4 linked regions of the Caenorhabditis elegans genome follow. The protein of the gene in region 2 interacts with the protein of the main gene of each other region in a pairwise test. Each region holds a gene or a part of one and is shown on either strand. Other genes may lie near its edges. The genes, in order: phb-2, npr-12, cat-4 and ZC455.1.

Region 1 (7,832 bases), on a different chromosome or scaffold from region 2:
GAGATTTATTATTACGTCATCTAAAGTTCAAAATGGCTTTAAGAAGTTAGGATACTCGATCATAAAATGTTCTTATTAGGTGACACACATTTAGAATAATGAGTCCGATCATATATAGTCAGATATTCTCTTAGTTTTCCTCATGTTTCCATCAACTTTAGTGAAATTTTCCGAAGAAATCAAATCTGAGCCCCTGAAATTTCCATCAGAAACTGTTTCAGTACATTTTTTGCTGAATTCGGTATTGTTAGATTTTATTTTTTTAAATCTTTACAGATCATTTTTCCAAATAGTATGAGATTGTTTTTCTGGAACTCCAAATATTCAATCCTCAGGCTATGCATAGATTTCTAGGTTTGCTAGAGTTGATTGAGAAGTTGCGGCGAATTGTCGAGATTTCAGACCAATTATTAATTTTTCATTCAATACCGAAAAGTCTACGCAGCTTTTCAGTTTTTCTAGAAATTACAAGATCCATTGTTGTGGACTTGTATGTTCATCTAAAAAGACAATGTCAGCCACAGTCGGTCCATTCTATATATCCAATTTATCTACTAAAGGAACTCGTTTTTTTATTTATCTTTTGCTTTTCTTTTTTGCTTCGTCCTTTTTCAAAAGGCTTTTCCTTTCCTGTGGCGGCGGCGGCGGGCGGCCAAAACATCTGTGGCGTCGTGCCCTCGTCGATTGCGCAATGCTTCATCTTCATATCCTCTCAGCTTTTTCTTCATCTTCTGGAGACGGGTTTAGCGGTGTCGCGCCGTTTCGTCACGTTGTGTCGTCAGGGTGTCATGACTCGAGAGAGAAAATGAAAGAGGAAGGCATGTAATTGTTTGTGATGGGATATGCAATTGCCAATCAAAAAGGTTAGCGCCTTGAAAGTGAAAGATGTCTCACCGGAATAACCGCTTCATCTATGTATTCCGTTTATTCAAACTATTTCAAACAAAACAATTGCGAAGGTCATGACCATCAAACTCTTCATCATTGTAATTCAATTGAAATTAAGAAAATTGAAACGAAACTCCCAAACCACAATCAACTAGTAGTGTTCTTGGCAAGTGTGACCATAAAGATGTACAACACCTAGTATATTCTTAATTAACAATCACGGCATCTTTCCCCTTGTCTTTCAAAGCAGCTTCACACCAGTCTCTGTGTCGCCTAGATTATACTAGAAATTACACATTTTGCCCACGCACCGTTACAGAGAGAGAGGCCCGTCGACCTTTTCCAGTGTTCCTCTCCCTCCGCCTTCTCTCTTCCAAAATCTTCTTCACCAGCTTCTCCCGCTCCACGTCTTGGCCACGCCCCATTCGGCTTTAGTTAGCAGTGCTGGGCTGCCCACTAAGATCCGGTCTTGCTAGTCTATACCTTCTTACCTTTCCATTTTCTCTCTATCTACCATTATTATGATCTACCGATTTGTGGCAACTGTTGCCATATTGGCAGCCAACGGTGAGCTCTAAGTTCTATTATAGGTTAATGTAGAAAGTTTAGTTTCAACCCATAGTTTCAGTTATCCACTGAAAACACGAATATATTGCATTTCTAGTACCACTACCATTTTCAAAATTTGAAAATTATATATTGTCTTTCTGTTCCGCACCCCATCACTCAAACTTGAAAGTTTTTTTTCCGTTAGACTTGAAAATATCCGTAATCTTTCTAGAATGAAACTAGAATAACAGATAATGAATTTATGTCAGTTGACAGATTTAAAAAATTCTGATATAGCTGCCACATGGTGCAAGACTCATAGTTAAATACGGTAGCATATTTCCCAAAAACATTACCATCATAATTGTCAAGAAAATATTCAGTTTGAAACTTAAAAAAAACGTTTTTTAAAATTTAATTTCAGCTCACTGTCAATACTATCAATGGCCAGAACAACATCAACAATTTAATAATTTCAACGGATTCCCGCAATTCCAACAGCAACAGTTTCAACAACCACAGCAGTTCCAGCAGCAACCACAATTCCAGCAACAACAACAAAATTATCAGCAATTCCTAGCTCAACAACAGTACCAACCACAATTCCAAGCTCAGCAACAGCCTCAGCAACCACAATATTTCCAACCACAGCAACAGCAGCAGCCTGTACAGTACCAACAACAGCAACCACAGCAACCACTTCAATATCAGCAGCAACCACAACCAGCTCCACCACCAATCTACTCACAAACTGTTGTTATCCCACAAGCTCCACCCCCACCACCAGAGGCTTATCAGCAACAACAATATGGTCCATCTCAGCAGAATCCAGTAATGGTTCAACCAGCCGATATCCCAAGATATCATCAGAAGCCTCAGCCAGTTCCACAAGTACCAGATGTTGCATTCCAACATGTGAATACTGCTAGAAGTGTTCAACAAGTCGATTTTGATAATAAATTGTTCCGAGAGCAACCAAATTCATTCACTCAAAACCAAGAAAAGGTAATTATGGCACAAAATTGATTTTATGCACCAAGTCAAAAAAGTTTCCTCCAAACTTTAATTTAATTTTGTTTAAAACTATTATTTTGCCAAACAGGATGTTTTGGATATGATTGAGAAGTTCGAACCATTAGTTCAAAACCTGGAAATCAAAAAATACGACACCAACTATCCCTCCTTATTCACAGATTTTCATTAAGTTAAAAAAGTTTATTTCAAATGTTCTTTGTTGATTCCTCTGATTCCCTTATTTATCTTATGTTGCAGATCACTCTGCTCGCCCAACCACCACCACCTCCGGCACCTCCAGCACAGACTCAGGCACCACTTGTACGTGCATGTTTCAATATTTCATCTATATCACTCACTTCACTGTCCTTGTCGATCCTCATCATTTTCAGATCCGTGTCCCTCCGCCGCCAGCCAGATTCATTCCAACTTTAAAATCTCTGTACAGTATTGATCCTCCACGTCCAAAGGTCCTTATTTTAGTTTTGTGATTTCATTTCTTTAACCAATTGTAACCATTCTCCAGAATCCATCTTACAAACCCGATGAAATTATTGTCGATGGTCATCGATCTTATTTTGAGGATACACAAAGAACAAGACCACAGGTATTATTTTATTTTAATTTCCTTAATTTTTATTATCCTTTTGTCGTTCTCGTCCATATTAATCATGTCAAATGTTACAGTTTTCAATTAAAATAATAATAACAGTAATCATCGGATTTTTCAATTTTTAGTCTACCAAGACCCGTGTTCAATCAGTAGGAGGAAGCGTTCATTCAAGTTCTGCCAATATTCCACGAACATCTCAACCAGCCGCTGTTGTATCTCCACCACAACAACGTACATTTGTCAGACCAAATGAGGTAAAAATAGTTGTTCTAGATGCAAAGTTTTGCGATTTTGCGTCAAAATTACGATACCCGGTCTCGACGCGGCAAGAATTTTTTGAATGCGAAAAGGTGCGCGCCTTTAAAGATTACTGTAATTTCAAACTTTCGTTGCTGCGGAATTTTCATATCAAGACTCATATCGTAATTCGACAAAAATATTTTTGTTTATCAAAAAAATACTATAAAATTTTAAAAAATACTATAAACAATGGATGAAAATTCCGCATCAATGAAAACTTGAAGTTACAGTACTACTTAAAGGTGCACACCTATTTGCATTTAATTAAAAATTTGTCGTGTCGAGACCGGATACCGTATTTTTGGCGCCATTATGTAATAATAAGAGTTTATAAAAGCTCTAACTAATTTACAGCAATTCCAACAACCCCGTGTCGTTCGTCCACAACCACAGCAGCAATTGACACGTCCAGCTCCAGCTCGGCCGCAAACTAGAAGACCTGTTCCACAGCCACAACAAGGTGAGTATCTAGATGTGAAAACTCATACAGATGAAACTTCATGTAAATTTTTTTCAACTCTAATTTCAATTTCAGCAACACGACCAGCTCCTCGTCCAGTTGCTCCAAAGAGCCATTTGGCACAACAACCTGCTCCAGTGACTGCTCCAGTTGCCAAGCCAAGAGTAAGATTACACCTCTTAATTGAAATCTGAATTTTAAATTTTCAGACTGCCAGTGCAAAATTCCTCCAGTGCTGCAAGGGACGTAAGGTGCATAATTCTTGCGAACGAATTTGTAGTTTTGATGTTCTTTCGAAGAAAGTTCTAACTGGAATGTTCCTTGGAACTGATGCATGCCCACAACATCACGGTCTAGATCTGATGCAGTGTGCTGCTGATAATGATGATCACACTGCATGCTGTATTGATCGAGAAGTTGATAAAACGTCTGCTGGAAAGAAATGCCTTGGATTCTGTAACATGAAACCGGGAATTACATTCCAGGTAATTATAATGAAATTATCTTTGTTAATTAATTATTTAAGGCTGATGTATCGATGCTTCCATGCTGGTCTGTCCTCAACGATATCAAGCAATGTTTCAAGGAGAATTTGGAACGACAACTTGCTGCCCTTTAATACTAATACAATTGAAACTGAGCTCTCTTCAAAATGCCAACCCCCACTTCAATCTAGTCCTTGCCATGTTAAATTATTACTCCGCCTTCCAATTTATCTTTTTTCTAATTGAACCGGTGTTGTACAATTTTTTGGTTATCAGATTGGTTTCATTTGAATTGGACTTGATTGTCACTCTGGTAACCAAAAACGTTAAATGTAACATACCTAGCGAAAAAGTGAAATGTATTGAAAATAGAAAACTATTAAAAAGAATGAAGAAAATTCATGATGATTCTCTTTTCTATTAATTATTCGAAACAAAACAATAACAAATTGATGGGTTGAAAGAAAAACTAAACTACTATTTTAAACAAAAAGAGAGGGATAATGCTAAACGGGAAATTTTTAAAAAAACATGATTACAGTTTCCAATTACTCATCAATGCGGGTAAGATCAGATTCAGGAATGACTTAATTAGCGTCTTTTGTCGGTCACATTCAAATAGTCGGTGTCGGCAATATTCAACATCAATCCTCCTGTTGGGAGATAAGTCTTGTTTCCAGACTCAGACACGATACGAGCAATTTTTTGAGCAGCACGGATTTTTCTAAGCTTCAAAAATCCTGGATCGTTCTTCATGGCCTCTCCCAAAAGTTTTGCAGACTCAGCTTCTCCTTCAGCTTGAACGATCTTCTCTTGCTTCTGTTGCTTAGCACGTTCAACATAGAAGGTTGCTCTTTGTGCTTCCTGTGCGGCAACTTGCTTAGCTTCCACAGCTGCAGAGTATTGTGGAGAGAAAGCGAGCTCGGTGAGGGAAACATCATCGAGGATAATGTTGAAGTCAAGAGCCCGCTCGATCAATGTTTTGCGAACCAACATAGAAACCTATAAAAACCATTTTAAACGAGGTGAAACTCAGCCAGATCATAACCCATAATTTTCTAAAAATTTAAATAGCTGATTTACCTGTTGGCGTTGAGTGATAAGTTGTGAAGCATTGAATTTGGCGACAACTCCTTTAAGAACTTCATTGCAAATCGATGGAAGAACACGCTCTTCCCAGTTTTGTCCGAGAGTTCTGTAGATATGAACGAGATGTTCAGGATTTGGTCGAGAGAGAACACGGAGTCCAATGTTGACCATTTGCAAGTCTTTCGATCCAGTTGGAGAGCGAATCTACAATTTGAATTATGACTGATTATCAGATGAATACTTTTTCGCAGGAATACTTTTAAAAATAAGTGTTTAAATTTTCAAAACCGCCACTATGAAAATTGTATACGTACCTGGTTTGGTCTGGCACGGATATCATAGATGATTGGATATTGGAACCATGGGATTCTGAAGTGAAGTCCTTCCTTGTACAAATCCGTCGACAATCCTCCAATTCTGTTGAACATGATAGCTCGGTGTCCAGCTTCCACTGAAAACAATTAATTTGATCGTTATACTTAATATAAATAATTACCAGTGAACATTGACTGGGCGACACCGTAAACGGCGGCTCCGGCAGCAGCCACGAGTCCTAGACCAACTCCAGCTCCTCTAGCATTTTGAATAGCCTTCTTCATTGCTTCTTGCCCTTGTTTCGCCATTTTGCTGCAAAATAGACACATTATGATGACTCAAAAGAAATATGATGCAAAAATCGTTTCAAAAGAGAACAAGGTTAAATTCATGAGTTGATTAGCATGATAACAATAAGAATGAGCATATCAATATGCGTAAATTTTTAATTTAAAAGAAATTCGGCTTTGAATTATCAAAATATTCAATTTGGATATCATTATCTTACTTATTTTAAAAACGAAATTTGAATTATGCGGCATTGAAACCGTTTTTGTGCCGCATTGCTACCATATAAAAAGTAAACATGGAAAATACAAATATCTCGAATATAACCAACATTCATTAGATAAAAATCATTTTCAGAGCATAAAAAACAAAGAAAAAGCGACTTGAGAAAGAAGAGAAATACGCAGGGAAACAGACGCTCTGAGACCTACTCAGGAAATACCATGCGCCTTTAGTTCGTTGAAGAGGCAATGCAAGACGCAGAGAGGCGCAGACACAATGTACGCGGTAATTCAAAAACAGTAGTTTCGCCAGCAAAATTTGTTGTAGACATAGAGTACCGATATCGGCCGATAACTGAATTACAAGCGTTTACAGACAAATATTTTTATTTTTTTTATCAAAGAAGACTACAAGAAAACAAAAAAAAATACAACCATGGGAGTAATCACCATCATATCACATTCGAACTTTTAATAAATTAAAATCCCAAAGCATTGGCAAACATGAGAAAAAGATTGAACAAGTATTTAGAAACGAGTAAAAAATATCCCGTTGGAAGAGAATGCTCCAAATGATAATATAATTTTCAAAAAATTTAAAGCTCGGTCTTTATCTCTGACTCGTTTTCTACTTTCGACTCGTTTGCTTTCTTCGTGCTTTTCTTTTCCTTCTTCTTGTCTTGTTCGGCTTTTTTCTTCTCTGCTTCTTCTACAATGGTGTCGATATCAATTTTTCCGTCTTTGGCAAGATCGTCCAATGTTGTGATCTTCTTCATTTTCTTCATGAATCGATCTACTTCACGGTTCAGATTTTTGGTCTGAAAAATAAAATGATTAATTAGTATTCGTGTTTGTAGTTCATCTCAATGTACCTTGGTGTCAATATCTTTTCCAGTGAAGTTGAAATCATCTGTTTTCTTCTTCAAATCTAGGTGTTTCCGAACATCTGTGACCCAAATTTTCAGTTTGTCCAATTTAGATTTCAAACCGTCACGGTCTTCCTGAAAAAAATATTGCTACACGAATTTAGATATATTCTGTACCTTTTTGAATAGTGCCTTCTCCTCGTCAACATTGTTACCCAAAGTGGTCAATGAGAAAGTGGTTTCCAGAAGAGTCTCCAAGCTCTTCAACTTCTCTGGAACTGCCTTGTCGTGTTCTTGTCTCTTTTTCACACTCCGTACAACATTCTTCAATTCGAGCAAATTATCTGTGAAATCCTTCGTTGGTGTATCTTTCGTCACATCGTCTTCGAGCCAAGCACGAATTCTTTTCACAGAATCTTCCAATTTTGTTTTCTCCTCATCAGCCATGTAATCAGTGAACTCAGTTTCTTCGAGATATTGTGAACATTCAAAATTGAAAGATTCCAATTCATTTTCCACCGCAGCTCTCTCGGATGCAAGTCGTTCTTTTTCAGCAAATGCTTCCATTCTACGTTTTTCTTCTTGAACATCATATTTATTTGGAACGAATGCAGATGGATATTTGTTGGTAATGCGCAAGCGAACAATTGATGGAAGTTCCTTTTTCTTTTCTTTCACTTCGGTTGCATTACCGGAAGAAGCATTTTTCTCAGTTTCATTTGTTTTTGGACTTTCTTCAGATGT
Region 2 (8,661 bases):
AATTTAATATTTTCAGATAACAAGTTTCACGTTAACGGAGAGTTAATTTGAAATTCGTATTCTCAAATTATATTGTCAATTTCTATAATAATATTTCCTTTTTGCAATCCTGCTTCAAAATCTGGATCTGAGAAGATCTGGTCAGACGAAAATCTGGTCTAACATACAAACAAAACAAAAAAAAATTCCCCCGCTTCGGAGAAATATAGATTTTAAAACTGAGAAATCCAGCGCGAAACCACCAAATTCACATTTTCCGTTCAAAAATTCAAGACCCGTTTCCGTGTATGCATTGAATATTAAATTGCGTCGAAAGTGCTAGGATGTAAAAAGGAAGATTTTGAACATAATCCGCTTGAATTTATGGTTTCAAATAATACATTATTTTTTTGGTTTTTTGTATTTTTGAACTAAAAGTTCGTAATTCGAGATAACTTGTTTTTCGTGTACTTTGAGAGTTGGCAGGATCACTTTAAAAACAGTCACGCAGAGAGTTGTATACCTATAGATCCTAGATTGTCATCAAAATCAAACTGACATAAACAAAAGATCTTTGAATTCTAATATCTCGTTAACGTAAATTTTCCCACGTCACAGTGAAAGCAATAAAAAACACTTCAAATTTTCACACTCTTTCCAGAAAATGATAGTTGACACTAAAGCTACATTAGACATTCATAAGACATAAAATGCTAATTGGTTGTCCAAAAAAAAAAATTTAAAAAAAAAACGTCTAGGTCCGTTCAATGCAATGTCGGAAATCTTCAAATTGGAGTAGCGTCAATCCGGATATTTAAAAGGCCCGGAAAAGTCCGAAATGAATCTCGACTCGGATGATTCTTGTTATTCTAAATTTTTGAATTTCCTCCAAAATGCGACCAATCAGCATTTCTATCCTCCCACTTCTTGACCAAAAAACGGGAGTGGGTGGAGTTTTGCGCTGATTGGTCTAAAGTTTTTTGAAAGACACCCAAACTGCGAGATTAGCAACAATTTGGATGTTTTTTTTGTAATTTTCTAGATTTTTCCGAGATATCCAAATAAATGTTCATTGGCAGTGCCCCCCTTTAAATGTTATGTATATAAATAAATTTGAATGGAGGTCAGCTTCAAAAGTTCCAAAATCTGAGTGGTTTTGGATGAAGTCATGCATAACAGTTTAAAATTGAAATTCGAAAATCACATTAGGAAAAGAAAACTAAAGTGCTAAGTGAAAGCAATCTAAAATTCAAACGTATATGGATAGAATTTAAAATTGGACACTAAATTTTCAAATCAAAAAACATAATTTGGTTTGCTGAGAATTGGAATGGTTAGGTTATTCTTCTTCTTCTTGGAAGCCCCCCACACACAGAAAAACCAAAAATTTTGTCAAAACAAAAAAAAAACAACAAAACAAGAGACTCCATTCACCAGAGTTTCTGGAACCTTTTAGGCAGTCATTTCAATTTCACGCTTCAATGTTGATCTGGTCGGTTCTGAATCAATTAGAATTGGGAAAAAAGAACGCGGAGATAGGATGGAAGGGGAGGAAAAATGAAAAAAAGTAAGAAAAAGGAAGAGAGAGAAAGTGAATGAAATTTTAATGAAGAAATAGTCACAAGCAAGAAAGTTGTAAATGTTGAATACGTCAGGATCATGAAATTTGAACTTGAGTGCTACGAAGTTCAAAGGTTTATTATGCGCGTGAGTAAATTCAGTTTTTGAAACAGTAATATTTTTTCCTGAATTTTTGTGTTTTGAATCATTTATTGAAAACCATTAAATAAATATCTGAATAAACGGAAATAATTCTAGATTAAGAAAATAAAAAATAAAAACAGATTTTCTTCTATTTCCTTATATTGTTTTATTATTCACAACAGATTTTCACTATTTTTGAAAATATTTTCATTGAATTTTTAATTGAAGGCTTCTTCCTATAGACTTTTAGAACATCTCATTGAAAGGTCAGAAAATTAGAAATTGATACGAATACGTGTTCTTTAAGCTTTTTTATCCTTTCTCAACTTAAATGACGTCTTTAAACTTTTTTCCGAGACAAGAAATTCGTGATACACACGAGCCAGATCCCGAATTAAATTCGCGTCCAAGGAACCTCAAATCTAATTTTATTCAATTTAATTGATTCCAAAAAAGAATTGAATGCCGGAAACAAAATGATCTTGTATCTTTTCTTCTGACTCATAGATTTATAGATAGACAAGAATAGAAAAGTAGCGACGTCGGGGGAAACGGAGACGATGGGTCCAAGGTTTCTCCAATTTTTTTGTTGTTTTTTTTCTTGTTGAAAAACAAGTGTCGGATGACTAGTAGATGAGCTTGAAACTAGAATCATACAATGGGAAGTATATTAAAAATATATTAGAGCAAATAATTTGCTTTTGAGAAATTTTTATCCGACAAAAATATACTTCACAAAAAAAATTGTGACACTCGGCGAAGTTTATGATAAATGTAACAGGATAAGAAGATAAACTTAATGCTTAATCCTAAAAATTAGAATTTTTTTAAATTTCTGTACAAGCCTCCTAAAAAATATTTTTATGTGCCGAATAAAAAATAAGCTGTTCCAAAAAACACATTAAAATGGAGGTGGATGATGCTTCAAGATGAGGAACAAATTAGGGCTTCATACCCCCACGAATTTGTTATGAGAAATTATAATGAAATACATGATTAAAATTGAAAAAAAAAGAAAAATTAATATATTCTTGGCACAGATCAAATAAAAAACAATTGACCAAAAACGGGGCTCTTGGAGTTTGTGATTACTGTTCGCTTGAGATGAACTTGCGCATTAACTTTGATTTTTCTAATGTGAAGGTCTACAATTAGGATGATGCTCTTGATAAGCATCATTCCAAAAATCTTCCAAAAAATTCTTTGTAAAAGTGACAAAAATTGACGATTAGTGGTTGTTATTTGCTAACTTCAGCAAGAAATCTCGTGTTCCATTTGATTCGTAATCTATGATTCTAAATCTTTCGTTGCTTCTTTTATTCAATTCCTCTTTTTCAGACTCCATTACCCTAAAAAATCCCAGCGGGGTTTGATGAAGAGACTAAAAACCAAAAAAGAACAATGAAATCCAGATAAGAATTGATTGGAAGGTAAATTGAAATTGAAATATATTTTATTGTGTGCTCTTTTTTTCTTTCTTTTTTATACTCAAAGGTGAAGAGCAAATTGCAATTTCTCTTCCTGCTCATTCCCCCTTCAATTTTTATTTAATTTTACGACAAAATGCTCTCAAAAGGTCCGCGAAGAGCAGGAAGTCAAGAATAAAAATAGAAAATGTAGGAAGAGGCGAAGAGAAATGAATTAAATATTAAAAGAGTCTTCAAAAATTGAGAAGATTAATACTATTGGTATAAGCTTCAAACTATGGGGATCAATTTGTCATGGTAACTAATTAGAGATGCTTGGTACACCCTGGTACTTAAAAACATTTGAATAATAATCAGAAATTATGAAAAATGAATAATTTATTGACGCCAATTGGGAATATAAAAGCTACATTTCTAGAGTGATATTATTTAACTCTTCCGCGACCAAAAATGCCTATTTGTCAAACTTCTTGAAAATGTGTTGCATGAACTGAGATTACAAAAATGCGTAAGGCACAAAAATCAAAAGCTGGAGCCCACGCTAACATATGAGGAAACATTCAGTAGGCAATCATGAGACAGTCAAGTAGTACGTATACGTCTGAAAATGTTACTAATTTTTTTTTTAAACTATAATTTTTCACTTAAAATATCTAGTTTGCTCACAGAAAATGATGACCTGATATAAAATAAATTCTTATCGTCACAGCACTCTTTTGAAACAAAATGTAAAAAAAGAAGAAGAAACGAAGAATAGGAGTCGATTAGCTCTTCTCAATGAAGTACCTCCTTCGAGGTTAGGAATTTGTAAAATTGAATGGGTAAGGTGAATTTGAGTGTGTTTCAAAACATAGAATACACAGGAAATGGACAAGAATAGAGTAAGTAAATGGAGGTGGGTGGGCATACGGAAATGCCAAATAAGACTATTAAATTGTAGGTGGACTCTTGGAAATTTAGCAAAACATTTTGTGAATAAGTTGAGCTTCAAATACCTAAGAATAAACTAACTAAATGATCTGGTCCCAATCAAATATCTATTGATTGCGAGATTTCCAAATTGGCGAAATATTGTCCGCTTGATGGTACAACTGTGTGATGTTATCGCAAAGTTATCACTCTGATCTCGGTACAGTAAAAATTTACAGGTTTCAATCAAGCTTTCAACTTTAAATTCAAACGATTAGGTACAGTTTGACAGCAAGATGATGAAAACTAAAATCTCAAAGCCTTCGAAAAATCTGGTATTTATACGCTCGAAATTTCTACGAAAAAAAACCCATAAGGAACTGGAATTTCGATATGCCAACCGTATCCTAGATTCTTTGGAAATTACTTTTCTGTACAAAAATTAATTTCAAAAATGTCAAACCATTTGTGAATGTCAGTCGACATTTCGTCTAGATGCCAACATCCTGTTTGTACGAATTCAATTTTAAAATTCGCATAAATTTTTTGTTGAAGCACGGAATAATGAAAAGCTATTGAAGAAACATAGTGAGGAAAATCTTGTGCAATGGGAATGGGAAAAAGATGAAGTAGGCATGATAAAAATGTTGAAATAAGGAAAAGAAAAGGAAAAAACAAATCAGATTTGCATAAATGATCAGAAAAATGTATTGAAAATCGAATGTCGGTGTTTGTAAAAAATCAAGATAACATTTGGAAGATGTTTCTTAGAAAGCTTAAATACAAAAATATTAATGAAGCATGGCCCACTTGAACGTTTTTAAGAAGAATTGGTACCCACATCATCAAGAAAAATACGAACAATTCCATGAAACCATGAAAATATTCCTGGGATGACAGGGTTCGTGAGCCATATATTATTCAAAATTGTGGAGGACCATTCTGGTTTTTGTGTTTTCGATTCTTTTTTGCAATTTGCAGGAAAGGAAGTAAAGAACACTTTTTGACCAAAAAAGAAGAAGACCACTAAATGTTCATGTATCTAAAGTTACGTCTTAAAGTTGAAACAAAAACAGCATCGTTGTTCTGCAACGTTCCTTTGATTTGTACACAATTTGAAACAGTTTTATTTTAGTTTATGCTACTGTCTGAAACTTTCTGTCAGAAACATTTAAAAACAACTTACGTTTTGTGAACTGTCATTATAGTGATGTTGCTATAAAATCGGCCTACAGATTCTTTTTAGAAAGATTCCAGATGGTGTTTACCTGTAAAAACAATTAAGATCAGTTTTTAAAGAGTGGTAAATACAAGTAGTATAGAGATAAGGGAGTACAAAAAGTGTACAGATTGAAAAATGTGATTGAAAGTTTTTTGTAACAACATATCAAGCCGCTTAAAAGGTGACTAATTTTTTCTGCCAAATTCAATAACGTGTTCCAAAAAAACATAGAACAGCGCAAAAGTCGTAAAAGAATTAAGTAGACAATGAATGTGAAAAAAAATGTCAAGAGACTCGTGGAAACAGCTCCGGAATGAATATAGTAGTGGAATGAGGAAAGAATCGTGGATATATACTAGAGGAAGAAGGAAAATGTCGTTGCATAATAAATACACCTTTCGGCACATTTGTTTTTACAAGTAATACGACTTTTAAAGATGTTTTTTCTTTGCTGGAAATAGTCACTGCCAGGTGAGTTAGCAAGAAAAAGGGTTCAATATTTTCCTTTATTTTTTTTGTCCTGAAACGTTCGAATATCATAGTTTTAAAATTAGAGAATTATTTAAATTCTTTAAACTATAGCCAAAAAGTGGTGAAACTCAGTTGTCCTATTATAATGTTGGAAAATTACAAAAAAAGGTAATTATTTGGTAATTTTGGAGTATTATAAATATTTTTAAAACGAATCCTCACGGGCGGTACTCCAGCTTTATTCAATCAAAAACATCAAAATAGTTGTAGAAGTTTCAATCTTTTTTTATTGAAAAAAGTTTGAAATTCAAATATTTAATGATGGAAATTAGTTGATTGTTTTAGAAAAAAAATTCCAAGAAAACTGTCAGGCATCTTAAACTTTCCCAACAAAACAATTATAGTTTTATGTAATTTCTAGCATTCTTAAGAACTCACAACAAATCAAGAAAATTTTTTATTTCTCACCTAGTTTCAGAAAGTTTATTTTTGCAGAATATTGCAAGAAGTATTCAAAGAATTACTTCTAAGAAGGTCCATTTCTGAACAAATTGAGTAACGTCTCATTGCTTTTTGGTGGGCGGACGATGGGTTCTAATGTAATTACTGGGTTCACATCGTTTGCAATGAGCACCAGTCGTTAAAATCTTTTCCACTAAAGCTATCGAAAAAAAGTGAAGCCGGAACACGAGATTTTGGAAAAAAATAATGGATTTAGATGACCAATGGGAAAATACGAATTATGAGGTTTTGATGAGTTGAGGAGATTCAGGACACAAAATCAAATCAACATTGTTCGATAAATATTTTTGTGTTTATAAAAATAAGATGAAACAGTACATTTTTTTATTTTCTCAGCTTTAAAAGTGAATACAAAACTATCGATGGGCTAGAAGAGGTTCATTTCAGCACTCCGTTATTCGTTGCAAATTTGTAAATAAAAGAAGTTTGAATAGAATTTCAAAGTATTTTGGCAACTCTGAATCTTAAATCTCAAACATGCGTTCTTTGAAAATAATAAGCTGTTCATCTTCGGAACCAAACTAAATTATATTTTCAGGCTTGGCAATTAGTGTTTTCAAATTGAAAAAAAATAGAGGACGATTTTAAATTCAATTAACAATAATAATAAAATGTTATAAACAGGAATTGCACAGTAGATTCTCAAACAAAATGAGATATTCTTGATCAAGAACAAATTTGTAATATGATCACCGCGAACATTTTAAGTGCGTTTTTTTTTGTTCAATGGTTAGAATGTAATTATATATTCTTTTTTTCATGAGCATGTTCAAAAAACAAAAGTGAGCGAAATTCCGTATAATTAGATATATGATAGGCGAGAAAGTTGACCGATCATCATGGTTAGAAAAAATCAAAAAAATTCCTTAATTTCAAATTTTTGAAAGAAATGCTAGTTGAAATTTAATTAGGTACGAACTTATCTTTCCAACTTTTGATTTTTTGTTGAATTTTCATTTTGATATTTAACCTAGTACAAGTGTTTCAAAGTATTTGTGCAACTAGCGCTGACTTACGCCTAAATAATTGAATACCGTATTTCCTCTATTAGTAAGGCATGCAAAACTAATTTTCGGACACCTAATTTGATGCAAAACTAATAGAGGGTGCAAAACTAATTTTCGAACAGGTTTTTTCTCACGTTTTCCATTAAGTTATGGCATAATATCATCAATTACAGTAACAACTTATGAACCAAAATTGACGAATTTTACGACTGATACGCAAAAATTGTACGAGTTGTACTCATATTTTGCCAGTTTTGACTTTTTATACCAAGTCTGTAAAAGTTTTCCTAATTTTTAGAACGGTTTTATAATGCAAATTTTGAATTCCTAAAAATAGGGAACAAATGAAAGGGTGCAAAACTATTAGAGGTGCAAAACTAATAGAGGGTGCAAAACTAATTTTCGATTAGTGATTTTAGATGCAAAACTAATGGCGGTGCAAAACTATTATAATAGAGGTGCCTAACTAATAGAGGAAATACGGTATACATAATTCAAAAGTTCAAAAAAATGAGTTCAAGAAAATCAGATCTGGTATACTTTCCAAATTTCATCTGGATTAATAAAATGAATCATTTTATTTTCAGACACACACTCCTTCATTCATCTTTTGCAGACTTAAATAAGCTTTCAGTTGATCAGAAAAAATGCGACCAGTGATCTTCTGTGGTTTCCGATTGGTTCACTAAGCTAACCTATTCGATTAAAATAAATGAAAATTTAAAAGGAGATGGAGGGTAAGGGACCATAAATTGAAATGAAACAACAAATATTACGAATGAGTAAATATAATATACCACAACAATAAAAACATATTTTTAGATTTCATATATAGCCAATTGAGACTGAAAACTTCAGTCACAAAATGTTTTACCAATCTTTTGAAACAGTAAAAAAATTGAATATGAAAAACAACCCACAATAGATTATCTAACGCTTATAATGGATATGAGTATGTAGATAATTGAGTTTTATGTGATAAATACAAGAAAACGAGAAAATTTTTTTAATTTTCAAAAAAAAAACAGCTGAACTTGCATTGGAGTTAAATTGGTTTAGGAATGAATTTTTAGAAAAAAAACAAAAACAATTTTCTAACGGTGTGAGATTTGTTGTTACTTTGCTCAAAAATGTATTAAAGTGTTGTGACGAGACCGGTGATTTTTTGCCTGTAGCCAAAAATTGCAAAAATTGCAGAATGTCAAAAATATTTGAAAGCCGGAATATATAATTTTCCATTGGTTTTAACATGTTGCAAAAAAAAGGTTTATTATCCTGAAAAACTGAAATTTTAATCTTCAAAAAATTTGTTTAAGCCGGTGCTTTTTGAGTGCAAAACGCTCAAAAGCTACCTGATATCTTTACCGCCAATCATACGGACTCATAAAAAATGAAGATATTTTTTAGAAGAAATAAGTCT
Region 3 (8,144 bases), on a different chromosome or scaffold from region 2:
CCTCCTGGTCCACCAGGAGCTGCTGGAACAAATGGGGAGGACGGGAGCCCAGGAGTTGCAGGACAAAATGGAAATGAAGGAAAGTCAATAAATGCACAAATTGATACATATGCTACCCCATCGTGTACTCAATGCACACCAGGACCCCCAGGAGCGCCAGGGCCCGATGGAGTTTCTGGGCCAGTTGGAATTAATGGTCGACCAGGAGAGAATGGCGCCGATGGAAATCCAGGTGCTCCTGGAGAGGTTGGTGCACCAGGAGATCAAGGAGGTGCAGGAAACCAAGGGGCTGCTGGAAAACCCGGCTTGCCAGGAAAGAATGGACAGAGAGGATCTGGTCACCCTGGACCTACTGGACCAGTCGGTGAAACGGGAAACGCTGGTAACAATGGACACCCAGGAGTTGATGGAGAAAATGGAAAACCTGGAACTCGCGGAGAAGCCGGATTGCAGGGAAAAGAAGGTCAAACAGGTCCAATTGGACCAGCGGGACAAAAAGGAGAAAATGGAATGCCAGGCCTAGATGCTGGATATTGTCCATGCCCGGAGAGAACTTACGGAGTGGAACCAATGCCACCGGCACGTCAATACGAGGGAATATAAGTTTTATACATATATATATATATAAATTATGTTATTCTATTTTCTAGTTGGTTATTGGCTTGTTGGTTTTTATAATTGAATAAAAGTTAACAGCAAAAAAATTTGTAAAGGTTGCATGTTGCAGATGGAAATTGTAACATAAATTGACATAGTTGACCATTGTTTAAAGTAATATAAAGTTTATCGTTATTCTATAAGAAAAGAGAAGAAGATGGATACTTTCTGTTTATTTGTTTTCCTAATATATATGATTATTAATTTATGATGCTTTTAACGGGGTTTTTCTGAAATGCACCTCTTTTTATATCAACAGTCAAAATATTTTTGACATTTTGTTGAGTGTTTTGTATAATTGTACAAGATTCGTTGTTTATTTACATACATAATTGAAATACGAAAACCCACAATCTTAATTAATTTATGCTCAAAAAGGTGACCTTTCGTAACTAAATGCTAATGACCTTCAATTGAACAGAGGCGCTCGAAAATTAGTTCTGCATTCTAAAGTAGTACTGCAGTTTTTAAAAGTGATGCATTCAAAAAAAAAACCCAAAAATTAGTGCAGCACTAATAGAGAATATACGGTAAGCCTGTAGAGTTTGGTCTAATAAAGTCAAACTTGCGGTAATAAAAGTTTGAAGTGATTCTTATCAGGAAAATAAATAATTCCAAATCACATAATCCAGTTCATAATCTATTGACTCTTTCAACCGCGCCATTGAACATTCTAGTCTAAAAAATTGTGCAAGATGATGTTCACTAAATCATCACCAGTCAGAAAACCGTATTCCTTAGGACACTCTCTATGTTACTTGTTCTCTATGTTTCTGACGTAATCGCCGTCACTTAATTAATCCCGCAAACTCCTTTTGTGCACGATCTTATCTCAAAGGTGACAATTCAAAGTTCCTGAACCAATTTATCATGCAATGATTATAAACTCCATATAAATTGCGGCTTCAATTGGTAGTACATCATTAGCGGCGGCATTTTGCTTATGCTCTTATCTTATTTATAGTTCAACCTAATAAATTGCGGGGAACTTCCTCTACGAGTGTTACGGTATTATTTGGCAGTACTTTTCAGTAACAACTTTCGATTTTAATTTTTTACTTTTCAAGAATATTGACAATAGCTCAGTTTTTTCAAATAGTTCTTTTTGATTCTCAATCTCTAACTCTGAAGAACCAAAAGTTATGAGAGACTTCGAATAACCCAAAAAATCCTGATCATAACAAAATAGTATTTCAAGTTTTCTTGTTTTCATTCGTCATCACCTCCTCCCAACTTGTACCCAATCAGCCCAGAAATCGCAAATATAAGAAACGATATCTGATGAAAAAGAACTAGAAAACTAGGAAAACATTTACAAGTTCGAAACGCCTCTTCCCTCATCTTCAGCTGATTTTGGAACCGTTCTCGTCATTTCGTGTGAATGTCATCAAAACACATCGAGTCTGCCGGGAAAAAAAAGGCGTGGGTTTGATCTTTCTACTAGCTTTAACTGTTTCAACGAAATTCTTATGTAGGTAGTTAAGTAGAAGAATAGAAGAAAGTGAGTGTACTTCTTTAGACCCCTCAATTCTTTTCATTTTCTTTCTTTACTTTCTCATTTTTCCACCTGATGATGACTTAGAAAGGAAAGTAGTTAAAATTTTACAATTTTTGAAAACCGAAACTGTTGAATGAAATCGTTCCCAAATTTGAGGTCCTACTTTTTTGACATGGTGAAATATTAGAAATTGTATTTTATTTTTGTGGCTGTTGGCAGTATATATGAGAGTTTAACACGGTTTCTGTGTTGTACTAAACTCATTAGTAATTTTTTTGCCAGAATCTAGTTTATTTTTCAGATTGGTTGTTTCGATGAGTAATATTATTAGGTGTGATGAGTTTTAAAAATAGGAGGAGTATATTCTACCACATGTGATCCTATTATTGTTTTTAAATAACTTCCCAGGAGGACCATTTGATGAATTTCGTGAGAAATATATGTGAAGTTTGATAAATTCCAAATTTCGTTTTGAATATAAAGTTTCTCAATTTTTTCGATTGTAGTGCATGAAAGAGTAACTTGTAGATATTAATCTGCCAAAGTTTCGGCAACAAAACTGATAGTGAACTAGAAGTCCACGTGAGTGAAGGTCTATATCATTCCTCGCTGATTTACGATCCTTCTCTCTGTATCTCCTCAGACCAGTCCACTTTTTCTTTTCTTGTTGCGCCTATCCACCTAATCAATCGGTTTCATTTTCTTTTTACATGTTCCTTTTGTTTGCATAAATAAATTATTCTTCCTCCACATTTTCCTGAATACCTAGAAGTGCTGCCATGAAGGAATGGCGGAAAACGATTGATGTATGGGACGACGTCTTCCGTTTCTTTTTCGATTTTTTGCTATTTTCTTATTCTTTTTTTCTCATTTTTTCACATAAGTGGGAAAAGATGATGAAGTCTATCCATTCGACTAGATTGATTTCCTTCTGTCCCTTCATTTTGCCTATTTTTTCCCAGAATACCTTTCATAATACATGACGTGTTGTACCTTTTTTTTTCGTAATTTCTTCTTTCTTGCTTGGACATTGCACATATTCGGTTTCATCCGGCAATTATTTGAATGTCTATCCTTTCTTTTTGTCGCCTACGCTTTCTCAGCTTTCTTAAGATTTACCCACGGCTCATTTTCAATATCACCTTATTTCACTCACTTACTCAATCAATGTTTTCAGGCTTTACCCACTCTATCAACATCATAATATCAAAATGTCCAGAATTGAGAACGAAAGCGGATTTTTGTCATCTGACGCCGCAAGTGTTGGATCCGAAGACGATAAAGTTGAGATGAAGAAAAGAAACGGAACGATTCCAAAGGAAGATCATTTGAAATCAATGTGCAATGCCTATCAGAGCATCATTCAACATGTCGGTGAGTTCATGTGATTCTTTGGTTCGGAAAGTATTAGTCGATCAACAACAAATTTAAAATAAGCTGTTTAAGAATAGATTATAGAGTTCTGAAAACGTACTGTCAACTGTTTACGTCAGCAGAATTAGGAAAACTTTGGTTTCGATAAACATTTCAACACACTTTTTGATTCATTCTAGAGATTATAATGTTTTAGCATTTATTCATTATCAGTGACTCAAAGAATATTGATAAATATTTTCCCAAATATAAATTTGACCAAGATGTTTTGAAAGTCGATGATCTATAACTGATAGTTGTTATTGTCTGGAAGGAAGTTCAGTTCAATATATTCCACTCTCAAATCAAAAATCAAGATCGAAAATTGTTTTAATTTAAAGACTCATGACAAATTGTAATCTATTACATCACGCAATCAAGGTACCCTAGCACATCATCAGGAACTTGTGATTTCAATTGATATATCTATAACATAAATCAGAAAAAAATAGGTTGTGTCCGTTGATTATAAGGGAAAAAATGAAAACAAAATACATTTTCCCACGTTGACTGATTTTGGGAATTCAGGAGAAGACATCAATCGTCAGGGACTTCTGAAAACTCCAGAACGTGCTGCCAAAGCAATGATGGCATTCACAAAGGGATACGATGATCAACTTGATGGTCAGTTATAGCAATACAACGTTAAAGCTCAAAGTTTCATTTTTCAGAGCTCCTCAACGAGGCAGTATTCGACGAGGATCACGATGAGATGGTTATTGTGAAAGATATTGAAATGTTCTCCCTTTGTGAGCATCATTTAGTTCCATTTATGGGAAAAGTTCATATTGGATACATTCCAAACAAGAAGGTTCTTGGTCTGTCCAAGTTGGCAAGAATAGTCGAGATGTTCAGCAGAAGACTTCAAGGTAAATTGAGAAATTACATTTTTGATTGGAACCTAACCTAAACGTTCAAATATTTCAGTCCAAGAACGTCTTACAAAGCAAATTGCCACCGCAATGGTTCAAGCTGTACAACCATCCGGAGTTGCAGTTGTTATTGAAGCTAGTCACATGTGTATGGTAATGAGAGGAGTTCAAAAGATCAATGCTTCCACCACAACATCCTGCATGTTGGGAGTATTCCGTGACGATCCAAAGACTCGCGAAGAATTCCTTAATCTTATCAACAAACGCTAAAAATTCTAGTCATTTCCTTTTTTACTTGTTTTTTTGGGTTTTAACTGTTACTAACTTTTCATAACTTTCCATGTGAATCTACTAACATCTTATGCTTCAGCTTTTTAAATTCATACAACATGTTCATTGCCTGGATACTGTAATATGCTTTTATTGTACATGCAATAAATTACTAAATACCAGATAAATAAAAACAAAAACAATTAACTGGGAAATGAAAGTGATAAAGCTAGCCCAGAAGCACAAACTAAAAAATTAGGAATGAAGGACCAGTGAATTGGGGAAGTTTACAGAAGAAGCGTGAAATAAAAGCCACCGTAATTAGTCAAACAATCACAATCATACACAAGAAATAAACCAGATTGAAAATTAAATAAATATTTTACAAAGAAAAGTCCTATTCAAACATAATGTCATTAAGCGACTCGAGCTCCAAATTACGGCAACTTTCCATGTTTTTCACATTTTGTTGATAAAACATGTAATCTTTTGTGACATATCTGAAAATAGTACATTATAGTTGAAATTTCAGTAATTTATTCTTACCCGTATTTTAAAGGGTCATGAGGTGTGATACCCATTCCAGTGACGTGTTCTCGTAAGTTGGCTTTAAAGTTTTCGTGTACTTGACGGAACAACGCCTCGATCTGATCTCTTGGCATGATGCCAACCAGTCCATTGTGGAATTTCAGCATATGGCGACAAATTTGTTGAAATTCTGGCGATGGAATCACTCCTTTCACATCCCACATTCCAAGACAATTTGTTGTATAATGAGCTATTACACTTATTAATTTGGCAGCAATTTCGTTGACGTGATCGCGGTATTCACTTTCAACCTGCTTGAAGTACCGAAGCAGACTTTTTCGATTTTCAGGAAGAACTCTGTCCATCTCATCATGAACCATCGGAATGAAGCGGCATACTAACTCGAGTGATCGACCTGCGAGTGCTGGAAAAAAGAACACTTTTTACGGTAAAACTTTAGAGCAATACCTAAATTTCGAACAGATATAGTCTTTAATCCAACCAATTGTAGGGCACCTGCACCTAAAATCAATTGACAACACCGACTGTTAAATGTTTTCAGTAATTCCACAACTCGCGAATTCCAGTCTTGGGAAAATGATGGCATTTCAGATATGGCTTCACAGTAGTCAGAAAGGAGCTGGATCATTGTTATTGATGATCTGAAATTAAAATATTAATATTCGTAATCCTAAATCCAAAATTTGAAACAAACCCAACAACAACATAGTTCTCTTCATCAACAATTACACCTTGAATTTGATTTGAAGTAGATGTTGTTGAATCAATTGTCACAGCGCTTTCTGTTCTTTTGAATGATTTTTTTATTGGACCATCATCTATTCGCTTTGTGTTTCTTAATTGGCCCGTTTCCATCGCCATGTCGACAATGTTCTGATCCACAATCGAAACATCAGTCGCTTTCCAAAGTTCTGTGTCAAGCATATTTCCAATACGAATCTTTCGAGCTGCATGGAATTTTTCAATGTAATCCATAGAAAGCTTGTTAACAGATCTTCCAAGACCTCCAACTTTTTGATTCTGAGTGGAATACCATCCTTCCTTGTCACACTTGGATTGAAATTCTTTAACGAGTTTAATGCATTCAGATAGTTGGGTAGGTGTAGTAGCTTCTGTCACTGATGCATTTTTGGCCCGAGCAATGAGCAATCGTGAAATCCGTTGTTGCGCACATTGATGACCGAATTCTGCGATCAATGGGAGCACGTGTCGTAAAAAGGCTTCTGATCTGACTTCAATCGAAAGAAGAGTGGTAGCTGACGCGTTAGAGGATAAAGCCGAACCACCGACGGAGAATCCTCCTGAACTAGCTGATTTGGAAAAAGTTGTACCAACTTCATCGTCAGACTCAGATTCGTGAATATCTTTTGCTTCTTCGATTCTCTCAACTATAATATCTTCAGAGCCATGTCGATGTAGAGGATTTGCTCGTTCAACAGTTTCCAGTAGAATATCTTGTAGAGCTTCCAATCGTTTACAAAAGTAGAACTCTTCATCCATAACAGCTTTCACAGTTTTCAAAAAATCAGCATGTTTCATTCTTCGTACTGGCTCTCCCAACTGTGTCAAACTAGGATCAAAATCGTTCAAATCAACTCCATTATTTAGAATTTGATTTTTAATAACTTGTCGCATTACACTTTTGACTCCTTCAATAATTTCCTCTCTTAAAACTGCAATAAATGAGTACTTTCGCATTCTCATCAATCCAAGTAGGACAGCAGAAAGTTCTCCTTCGGCTTGAATCATCGTTCCAGCTTCTGGCTTCACACCGAGCTCTTTTTGTATTAATGATGCAAAATCTTCATTCATCATACGTCCAATTACTGTATAAAGCTCTCGAAGCTGTGATGCAAGATGTCGGAAACAAGTGACGCCGTTCAATTCCTTTGAGAGAACATCTAGACTCGTTTCAATGCATTCTATAGCCTTTGGGTAATCTCCTTGTGATAACATCATTTGAACTGTTGATTGGGCTTCTCGGAGACATGAAATATCATGAAGTTTTGCCAGCAGTTTCTTTTTTTGTTCGTATCTTTCATGAACTTCTACAATCTTTTTTGACTGGTCGCATACTAGTTCGTCGACTCTTTTCAAGTTTTTTCGAACAACCATCACACATTGCAACGCGTTGGCAAGTTGTTCCTGGAGGCCACTGTACGATCGGACGACTTGCCAAAAATCATCAGTTTTTGCAACTAATTTTCCAGCCAATCTTCCATCCACAACGTCATGCATCATTTCCAATCTGTTTTGAAGAGCTTCGTAGTCTCGAAATTCTCCAGGTTTCTGAAAATCTAATAGTTTTTTTGCACAATGCTTTCTAGAGCACTTACCCTGTTGGTAGCAATTTCTAAAGGTGTAGCTGGAATCACATTTCTACCTGATAAAGTTTGTTTCAATGCATCCAAATCATCATTGGCAGGAACTGTGAACACATCCGAAAAAGTAGAACTGTCGCCAAGTGTAAATCGGGGGTCGATGAATATCTGAAAAAAGTGCACATAAAAATTTGTAGTGAACACTCTTCCTAGCCACAATAAAATTTTCGAAATTTCATGATCACTTGGCGCTCCGGCCGTTCCATGAGCTCAATGAGCTTTGAGTCGTCGTTTAAAAAGAGCCGACAGCTGTCTCTTTCCACCCTCACTCTATGAAAAAAAACGGGACGGAAAAGATCACAAACATCAAACAAACTAGCTGATAATAGTAAAAGAACAGCTGACCGAATAGAATACGTCTATCTCAGATTTCGTACTTTTTCAATGAATTGTGGGAATAATGGGCATTGGCTAGGAAGTAGATACTTACTGGTGATTGTATAGGATAAAGTTATACAAAGACAGACGTTTTGAAAACTAAAAATTAAAAATGTGATCTCTAAA
Region 4 (8,689 bases), on a different chromosome or scaffold from region 2:
GCTTTTAGACAATTTTACGTTGAAATAATATCATCGCCATTAAGTTGGTTTAAAATCAATAGAGGCTCATAATTTCAGAGCTGAACAGTCAAAAAGAAACATATTTTTGGCAGAAGGAGTGTTCTTGGAGTCTAATGTGGGCGCAACCTTTTTTGGTAGAGATTATCAGAAAATATGCACCTGTTTTTCATCTTGTTGGACTTTTTTTATTACAAAAAAACCAGACAGAATAGTTTAAATAATTGTAAAATAACCGTACTTCAAAATTGGTATTTATTTCAGAGAATATTATGCTCTAATTTTATTTATTTTAAATTTTTCCTCTTTAAGTTTTTACAGGTGTTATAGGACCTTGCTTTCTTTCAAGTTTTGAATGGCCATTTCGGTTTGACTGAAACTTGAGTCTAGAATTCCACATATTATACCGAGTATTATTAAACCACATCATCGATTTTTAATCCCAGAATTTACTTTATCAATTACAAGCCCTGTGGAAAAATCAGATACGTCACGCGAACACCTCGAACTACAGGTTACTGTAAAAAATTGAGAAGATGCTTTACTGAAAATCCAAAAATTAAAATAAAAATTTGGAGAGAAATTGACATGAATGAAAATTTGAGATCAAGTTCTGAACTTTATGATATCACAATTGAGAGTATATCAATAATAAAATGAAGTACTTCATAATGGTCAAGTGATTCAACTTGTGATTTGTGAAAAAGATTAATTAAAAGAAACTCAAAACCGTACTAAAAAATTCAACAATAATTGAACAATTGAAAAAGTTAACTTGAACCTTTAACTTACTTCGAACCCTTTGTTAACTGGTTATGTGAGTTTCAAGTTTAAAAATATTGCATTGCCGCTCAAAAACGTATAAATTAAAGATTTTTGAACTTCGGGGTTACTTATCTGGCACTCGTGATTGAATATGATTTCTGAGTGTAGTATCGACAGTAAAAAGAGAGATATAACATTTGTACCAAATACAAATAAAATCTTTTTTTTTTATTTGAGATGTTCTTTAAGTGTTCTATTACTAAGCATTGGACATTTGATCTACTGAAGATTCTCAAACATATAACAGTACTCACTTTATCGTCGTGGTCGTTGCTCTCCGGTTCAAGATATGTTAAGCTGGCTACTCTGTAAAAAGAAGTTTTTTTTTTAATTTATATAATTCAAATATCCAAACAAATTTCATTTGAAAAAAACTGAAGCGTGGGAAACGAAAGCAAACTTGAAACTGTGATCGTCTTGGCGCGTATTTCAAACGAACAACCGCCTAATAGCTGAGAGGGATTATTACACGGGTTGCTCGGGCGGCAAGAGAAGAAGTGCTCTACCGACGGGCTCCAGCCCCTGTTTGCTCCGCCGCCACCACGCAAGAAAGCGCCACGCATTTCTCACTATCATACCAAACTAATAGGCACACATTGGTAGAGGAGGGGGTGTATGGAAAAATGTCTGGGCGAGCTATGAAATGATGTTGGAATCTAGAGTTTGTTGAAAAAATTGGCCTAGTTTGGAGAGCGAGTTCACTATTTTCAAACACTTGTTAGATTAATATGTTTAAGTGGGTCATGAGACATTGCATAGTTATGACGAATTATGTAAGTGTTCTAGAATTTTTTTTATTGCTGCCTCAATATGACTCCAAACGAGCAAATGTAATAATGGGATTTTCTGAAAATGTGCTGAACATATTTTGAGGTGGTTCCAATTGACAAAAAAAAACAAGCAGCTAAAAAATAAGCTAAAACTTTGAATTTTACCAACTTGTTCGTATAGCAAAATATGTGAGTTTTGAATAAAAATTAAACTTTGGCTGCTGTGAGACGGAAAAGTAGTCAAGTTTGGTGACTTTAGTTTAAAAAAATGTCTAAATCTACTTCTCCTTTAACTAACTTTTTGAAATTTTTCGAACTGGAAGTCTGGCACACAACAACCTTCTGTGTAAAGTGAGAAACTCGAAAAAAGCTCTAGAAAAACAGATGACGCGAATATAGATTTTAAATTAAGCCTACGCTTTAAAAGTCTCCGCAAAGTAGGGGGCCCTATGTGGAATGCATATTTTAAGAATTATCATATGGTCTCGAGACATGTTCTAGCGCGGGATCTAAAATTAAAATCTATGAATATCTGAAAGTATCAATTATCTGAAAACATTCTTCCTCTATATTTGTGGACCACTTGACATTCACCCTCAATTCAAGTGATCATCGGCATCCCACGCTTGTCTTTGTTTATACGCGTGTTTTCTGTACTTGCTCCGTTTCTTTCATCTCTCCTCTTTTACACTGTATATCTTTCAAAAAATGTCATTCGTACAAAACACAGTGTTCCACATCGTTTACGCTTATCCTCTCGGAAATATCTTTCTTCGTAGTTTGACTCACCCCAGATCAAGCAAACCGACACTTCGTGGACGTTCTCTTCGTTTACTGCGTATCTTCTTCGAGATGTTCGAGTCAGATCCTTCTTGACGCTGAAGAAGAGGTGGCAGTGCTAATCGGGGCTCTGGTCGAAGAACAACGTGAGGAGTTTGATGATATTGTTTTGAATCCTAAACGGTTTTTATTGATGATCAAGACACGAAAGATCAATTGAAGAGGCTTTTAAAGAGGTTTTGGTCGGTGTGTATAAGAGAATAGGTTAGCTTTAGAAGTTCCGAACATTCTTTGAATTTATTGTTTAGTTGTTTAGCTGATCTGTGTACAAACCTATTTCTGCGAAAAAAAAGTGTTTTTAAATTTAATGGGGATTTACAATCTTACGTTTCTAAAAATTTTGTATATTTATTTTGGAATCAAAATTACGATTTTAATTAGACAAATTTAGGAATCTAAGTCAATTTATAAAATTTCAGTATGCCTTTCGGAGGCTTCAAAAAATTTTTGTTATCATATCGAAATAATAAACCTAAAAAATAAATAAATAATTAGAAAAATAATTTAGGAAATTATTAAAGATTACTTTCATTTATTTAAAATCAAAACAAAAATTTGCCAGACTATGAATCAATTTAAAAATCTTTCGTCTGAAAATTTGCACTAACTTCAGTTTAAAACCTGGTACACAATATGGTTTTCAACTTTAACTAAATAATTAAATTAGTTAAATATACCTGCGATGTCAATGAAGATGGCCTGGCATATGGACTAAATGCCGAATGCTCGGACATTGGAAGACCACTGTTATTACTGTTATTGTTGATTATTGTGGTAGTTGCACTTCGAGGAGTGTTTGACATCCTGAACAAATACATTAATTCAAAGATATCAAATTTCATATTCACACATTTTCACAAAATACATCTGAACTGTTTCTTCTACAATCCCTTTCAACAGGAGTTGAATATAAGGTAGGAATACGAGTAGAAGAAAACAAAAAAATAACAGTAATCAACAAGAAGCCGAACAAGCAATGAGCAAAGGCAAGCCGCTGAGGAGCAAATGAATAGAAGAAAGTTCACAAAAAACTGGATGCTTGACACAAAGCTTTCCACACAGAGAATGAACGATCTTCTCGTCTCGGAAAGGCATTTCTCTGCGTTTCTAACTACAGAACAATATTATTTTTGAAAAAAAGTCTCCTTGTAAGGAATAGGTACTGGTTTTTGATGCGCATTTTATGTTAGAAGTGAATGGAAAATGTGTCAAAATCTTGACATAAGTAACTACATAATATCCATGCAAAGAGGAATTTGAAAAAAAACTTGAAACTCAGAGATTTTGTCTTAAAACAGAAATAAAAGTAAATGTCAGCTTACGCTATTTTTGAATAGTGCTGTAAACTTTTGAAGCTCTTCAAATCAGGTTACTGAATTTTCAGTCGAAATTGCAAATAATTTTTTTTGTTTGTTTTCTATATTTTCTACAGATTTCTAAGTTTCATTTGATAAGTTTCCAAAATTCTCTGGGAAAAAACGAAAAATATTTAACTTACATATTCTTATTCTATTCATTACTAAGTTTGTCTCGGCAAATTTCCACATCCAACAATTTTTTGAAGAAAATTCCCGAAACTATTGATATTTTTCTTTAAAAAAAACTAAGAAAATAAAATTAAATTGCGCTTATCCTAAATTTCAAACAAAATAACGTACTAAATTTTTGGTTTCTTGTGTTATTTTGTGTTCGTTCAAATGTTTCTAAGTCGGTTTTTATATCAATTTTCAGAATTCGCAGTGCTTGGAAATCCATCGAAAAAGAAGATTTATCAAATTTTCTGAACGACCAAAATTGACACTATTGTAGATACAAATTTTCTAAAAACGATTAATTTTATAAAAAAAATGTTACCCAGGTATATGTATTTTAAAATACTCTTTTGATTTTTAACTTTCTTTGAAAAAAATGAACAAAAAATAAAATTCAAAAGCTCTACTCATAACCGCAATCAAATTGCTTCACGTCATGCTTGATAGAGGACACAAAAGCGGAAATGATAAAGTCATAATGTGTGGAGAATCTGGCAAGAGCACTAGACTGCGCAATCCGTATCACAATTGGATCGGATATCACGTCAAACCAAGGCAAATCAAACGTTCTCTCATTTCCGGCGTCTCTCGATTTTGCGAAATATCCATTTCTCGATCTTTATTATTAAATAGGAGAAAGTTCTCGAGCAAACGAGACAGGTAAATAGAGATAAAAAGACAAGATTATCATTTTCAATTAACGGCTATACATTGCTTGAACATACCTGCTAAAACTACTATTATTGTTGCTGAATGACGTGGCGATTGGTGGGAGATTTGAAAATATTCGTTCCGGTGCCACGTAGATGGCCGCTGGCTCGTGAGCAGATATATCGCATCTGAAATATTTTCAAGTGATTCTCTTACTATAATTCGATTGTTTTTTTTTCAAATTCAAAAATTCGTAACATGGAGCTTTTGAGAATTTGTTTAATATTTTCAATTTAGAATTTAATATTACTTTCTAAAAAACCTCCGAATCTACATATAAGTTTACAAATCTTATTGAAATGCTTTATTGTATTCTGTCTTCTAGTGTTAGTACAATTAGTTTCTTAATCTTCTTACCTACAAACGGAGCATCTCCTTGAGCCACGAACTTCTGCCACAAACAGGGAACATGACATTGTGGATTAGATGTTTTCTTGTCACTTCTTCTACTTATTTCTTGTATTTGTACTTCAACTTCTTGTACTTTTGTGTTTGTTGTGACCTATTTTGACTAGAGTCTAGAGACAATAAATACAGAAAATATTCTAGAATAGAAAAAGAAGAAAAAGAGAAAGCATGACTGGAAGTGGACGAGAGAGAATGATGTATTATCAATACGTGAAAGAGCTTGGGTTGGAGCACTTGAGACTCCTTTCCGCGCGGAAACAAAAAAACTTAGAGGTATTAGATCAAGAGCCATGAGCACAGAAGGCAGAGCAAAAGAGCAAGAGTCGCAGATGATTGTTCAAAATCAAAATCAGCAGAAACAGTAACACAAAAACCATAAATGAAACAAGCATTTGTCCATGGCATGTTTATGAGCACGGACACAAAACCGCGTCAGAGTTAGCCACAGATTTGCACCGGAGAGAAAGGCCAGCATGAAAGGTAATCTGTCGGGTAAATAGTGTGATTCTCTCGTTTTCATGTGTTGGCAGAACAAAATGAGCATGTTTAGCAGAGGGAAAAGGGCAAATTTTATTGAATGAAATTTCAGATCATATTCTAAGCCGGAATATTTAACATTTTAATGAACTGCCATTTGTGAGGATTTTACTTCAGAAACATTTCCACTAGGACTGGAGTTGTCCTGAATAACTTTTCCCAATGCCAATAATCAAAACTGCATCCCTAAATTTAGATAGTTTAAAATATGAAGATATTTCAAAAAGAAACATGCAGAAAATTTATTATCAAAGCAAAAATTATTGATCGCCACAGTTTAACACATATTAAGTATAAACTTTGAAAACCAGGCAGTGTTAAAATATATAAATTCTTTAAACTGTTGAAAAAGTTATATTGGATAGATTCACAGAGTTAAATTGAAAATTGGCCAAGAAAGAAGATACCACTGTTTTGAGAAACGTGATAAAGTCAAAAAAAGGTAAAAATTAGATTGGGAAGAACGCTCAAAATTACACAGTTAAAACCATTTTCATTATTTTAGTAAACTTTTAATTCTACAGAAACTTTTGCGAAATATTTCCAAAATATCTCAGTCGCTAATGCATCTTATATGATCTTCCCATTATCCCTAAACGATTCGTTTTTGGTCTCACTGAAGTTGTAAACAACACTCAAGTACCAAAGAAAGTGAGTCACAAGGTTGAGTATATAATGATCTGTTTTTGTAATTATGACCATACCCTAATTAAAAAAAACATTTTCTCAACAGTTTCTAAATGATAGTGTTCAAATTAAAAGTGGTGAATATCTAACTACTAAACATTACAAAACTTTTGAATTTTTTTAAATTTACAGTCAAAAAGTGGAAATTTCTCACGGTAACTATCATTTTGGAACTCAACCAAAAATTTTAAATTAATCGATCATTATAGAGTCTCAAACCAGCAGCGATTCTCAAAATTGCTAAAGAAGTCCAATTTTTCAAAATCTTGGTACTTTTCCAAAACTGACTGAAAGTTTGAATTTTTTTGAAATGGAGCGTTGAAAATTTGGTCAAATTGGATTATATGAATTAAAAGAGTTTTAAAACAAAATCCCTTTTTACCATAAAAGTGAGGAACAAAAATCTAATTTTCCAAGAATTTTAGAGTGACTAAATGATAATAAAAATGAAAAAATAGGTAATCGATAGTTAAGTGAGAAATTGCGCGGTTTCTCTGGTTATCATTGTGGTAAAGTTCTCCTTACTTTTCATCTCTAGAGCTCTCGGCGTCTCACACATTTCTCCCACTATTTTTCACAAAAACGCGCGACTTCAACTACTCGTGTATTCAAAAACCAACACAGATGTTGAACATACCACAGACAGGATATAGGTACTGTAGAGTAAAGGCGTCAAAGATAATACTGTGTAGAAATGAGCGAGACGCAGCATGTCATGGCTCTTGACTGCTCGTCACAGCTTTCTCAAACTTCAATGACTATCGTGTTAGACCAGGTTGCGGAGAAAAGATTTTCAAACTGTTTCGTGTATTTAGACCAGTATATGAAAATTTTACTATTAGATTAGATTTATCCTGTTATATTTGCGATAAATGGTTTCTTTACAAGGGGATTAACGGTTCTGCTTTTTTGCTTATACACAAAATTGACCCAAAGCGCCGAATTTCTGCAACTTTTCCGTGTAGCCGAGTCTGAAAATTGATTTTTATTCAAAAACTGTTTCTTCTTGCATTGGTAATTTATCTTACATGCTTTGTTGATATAACTACAGTTCTAGTTAATTATAAAAATTTGATTATTTATCTGCAGAAACTATAAAAACCAACAGAAAAACGCCAGTTGACAAAATTTTAAATTTCAGCCGATTCAGCACATAAAAATTTAATTTTTTACATGTTATATCAAAATATTTTTAATGTGTATTTTATGAATTCCTTTAGGAATTTGGTAAACCTATCGATAAGTTTTTATATTTTTTTAATACCAGAGAAGCAAATAATTGTGAGAAAATCCTGCAAGCTGGGAGACCAAACTGCAGACGTGAAACATTTTGATCTTTATTTACAATTTGCACAGAGAGATCGATTGATAGTAAGATTATGAGATTGGGTAGGCTTAGAAGTTTTACACTTCTATGGGAATATAATAAAATATAATACGAATCTGTTGGAAAGGGGAGGTTAATTGGTGGTTGGAGGCATTCCAGTATGCCGCATGTTAGAAGTTGAAGAGATATCATGGATTCTCTGGAAATATACATATATTATTAAAAGCATAACTCTATTTCTGCAAATCACAAAAAAGCAAGGTTGCTTAGGCAAACATATCTTGAGTTTTTGATACTACACAATTATGAAAACGTTTGGATAGATAAATATAAATTAATAAGGTTTTATAGTATGACAAGAAATTTTGATTTCATATCTACGGGCATAAATTACCAATACGAGTTGTATCTTGATTCTATAAAAAGTTACTTTTTGAAGTATTCATATTGGAAAAGGAAGTTGCATTGTTTACCTTATTTGTTTTCTTCAATTTGAGAAATTTCAAAAACTCTGTTCGAATGGTTTTGTTCATTGTGAGATAGATGATAGCTGGACATCCATGAACAATTGACCAACACAGTTCTGCAATCGCAATCACCCATGGAGCAGGAACTGTGAACATCAAAGCATTATATGACATTGCAGAGAATGTGTTGAAAGAACAAATAATGCTTGATTGGATGAATACTTGACGTGATGCTTTTGATTTCTGTCCCCTTTGCATTTTGTTGATGAGGACGCAATAAATGGCGTAGAGGGTGCACGTGCCAGAGCAGAAGATCCAATTGTTTGTTGATTGGACATGGTTACGGTACTAAATAGGAAAGAGGAAGTTATTTGAATTTGCAAGTCTTGTAATGAATTATCTATTCGAAAGAGATATTCAGCAAGTAAAAAAAAAGGAAATAATCATCTTAAATATCTTACCCAGTCGGTAATCTCATCGGTTTTGTATTCTGGATCAATTGTCAATGGATCTGCAATCCATGCCATTATGGCCGAATTGAATATGATAGATGGAGAAAACATGGAA

Evidence for each region.
Region 1: the proteins of npr-12 (region 2) and phb-2 interact in a two-hybrid assay, tested with the Caenorhabditis elegans proteins (one large-scale study listed by BioGRID).
Region 3: the proteins of npr-12 (region 2) and cat-4 interact in a two-hybrid assay, tested with the Caenorhabditis elegans proteins (one large-scale study listed by BioGRID).
Region 4: the proteins of npr-12 (region 2) and ZC455.1 interact in a two-hybrid assay, tested with the Caenorhabditis elegans proteins (one large-scale study listed by BioGRID).

What each region holds. Positions count from the first base shown.
Region 1 is NC_003280.10:6,249,604-6,257,435, reverse strand, and holds phb-2 (Mitochondrial prohibitin complex protein 2), read right to left. Parts: upstream 6,026-7,832; 5' UTR 6,022-6,025; coding exon 5,895-6,021; intron 5,850-5,894; coding exon 5,713-5,849; intron 5,603-5,712; coding exon 5,393-5,602; intron 5,312-5,392; coding exon 4,901-5,311; 3' UTR 4,656-4,900; downstream 1-4,655. Other genes in the region: dbd-5 (uncharacterized protein), read left to right, coding at 1,410-1,455, 1,862-2,442, 2,710-2,772, 2,844-2,921, 2,978-3,058, 3,190-3,318, 3,719-3,824, 3,900-3,988 and 2 more; T24H7.2 (Hypoxia up-regulated protein 1), read right to left, coding at 6,819-7,040, 7,095-7,223, 7,266-7,832. UniProt on the Caenorhabditis elegans protein: PHB proteins are essential during embryonic development and are required for somatic and germline differentiation in the larval gonad. A deficiency in PHB proteins results in altered mitochondrial biogenesis in body wall muscle cells.
Region 2 is NC_003282.8:6,932,427-6,941,087, forward strand, and holds the start of npr-12 (G-protein coupled receptors family 1 profile domain-containing protein), read right to left. Parts: upstream 5,223-8,661; coding exon 5,206-5,222; intron 2,635-5,205; exon of another isoform or gene 2,614-2,634; intron 1-2,613.
Region 3 is NC_003283.11:10,561,548-10,569,691, forward strand, and holds cat-4 (GTP cyclohydrolase 1), read left to right. Parts: upstream 1-3,332; 5' UTR 3,333-3,366; coding exon 3,367-3,529; intron 3,530-4,096; coding exon 4,097-4,192; intron 4,193-4,239; coding exon 4,240-4,437; intron 4,438-4,495; coding exon 4,496-4,710; 3' UTR 4,711-4,892; downstream 4,893-8,144. Other genes in the region: col-152 (Nematode cuticle collagen N-terminal domain-containing protein), read left to right, coding at 1-603; vps-54 (Vacuolar protein sorting-associated protein 54), read right to left, coding at 5,108-5,210, 5,257-5,662, 5,707-5,900, 5,954-7,548, 7,596-7,748. UniProt on the Caenorhabditis elegans protein: Involved in serotonin and dopamine biosynthesis that affects movement, mating behavior, foraging behavior, and cell migration.
Region 4 is NC_003283.11:12,769,945-12,778,633, reverse strand, and holds the start of ZC455.1 (LIM domain protein), read right to left. Parts: upstream 5,113-8,689; coding exon 5,054-5,112; intron 4,827-5,053; exon of another isoform or gene 4,825-4,826; coding exon 4,711-4,824; intron 4,638-4,710; exon of another isoform or gene 4,506-4,637; intron 3,264-4,505; exon of another isoform or gene 3,258-3,263; coding exon 3,131-3,257; intron 2,570-3,130; coding exon 2,403-2,569; intron 1,391-2,402; exon of another isoform or gene 1,262-1,390; intron 1,150-1,261; coding exon 1,098-1,149; intron 1-1,097. Other genes in the region: srt-43 (Serpentine Receptor, class T), read right to left, coding at 7,789-7,854, 8,129-8,470, 8,584-8,689.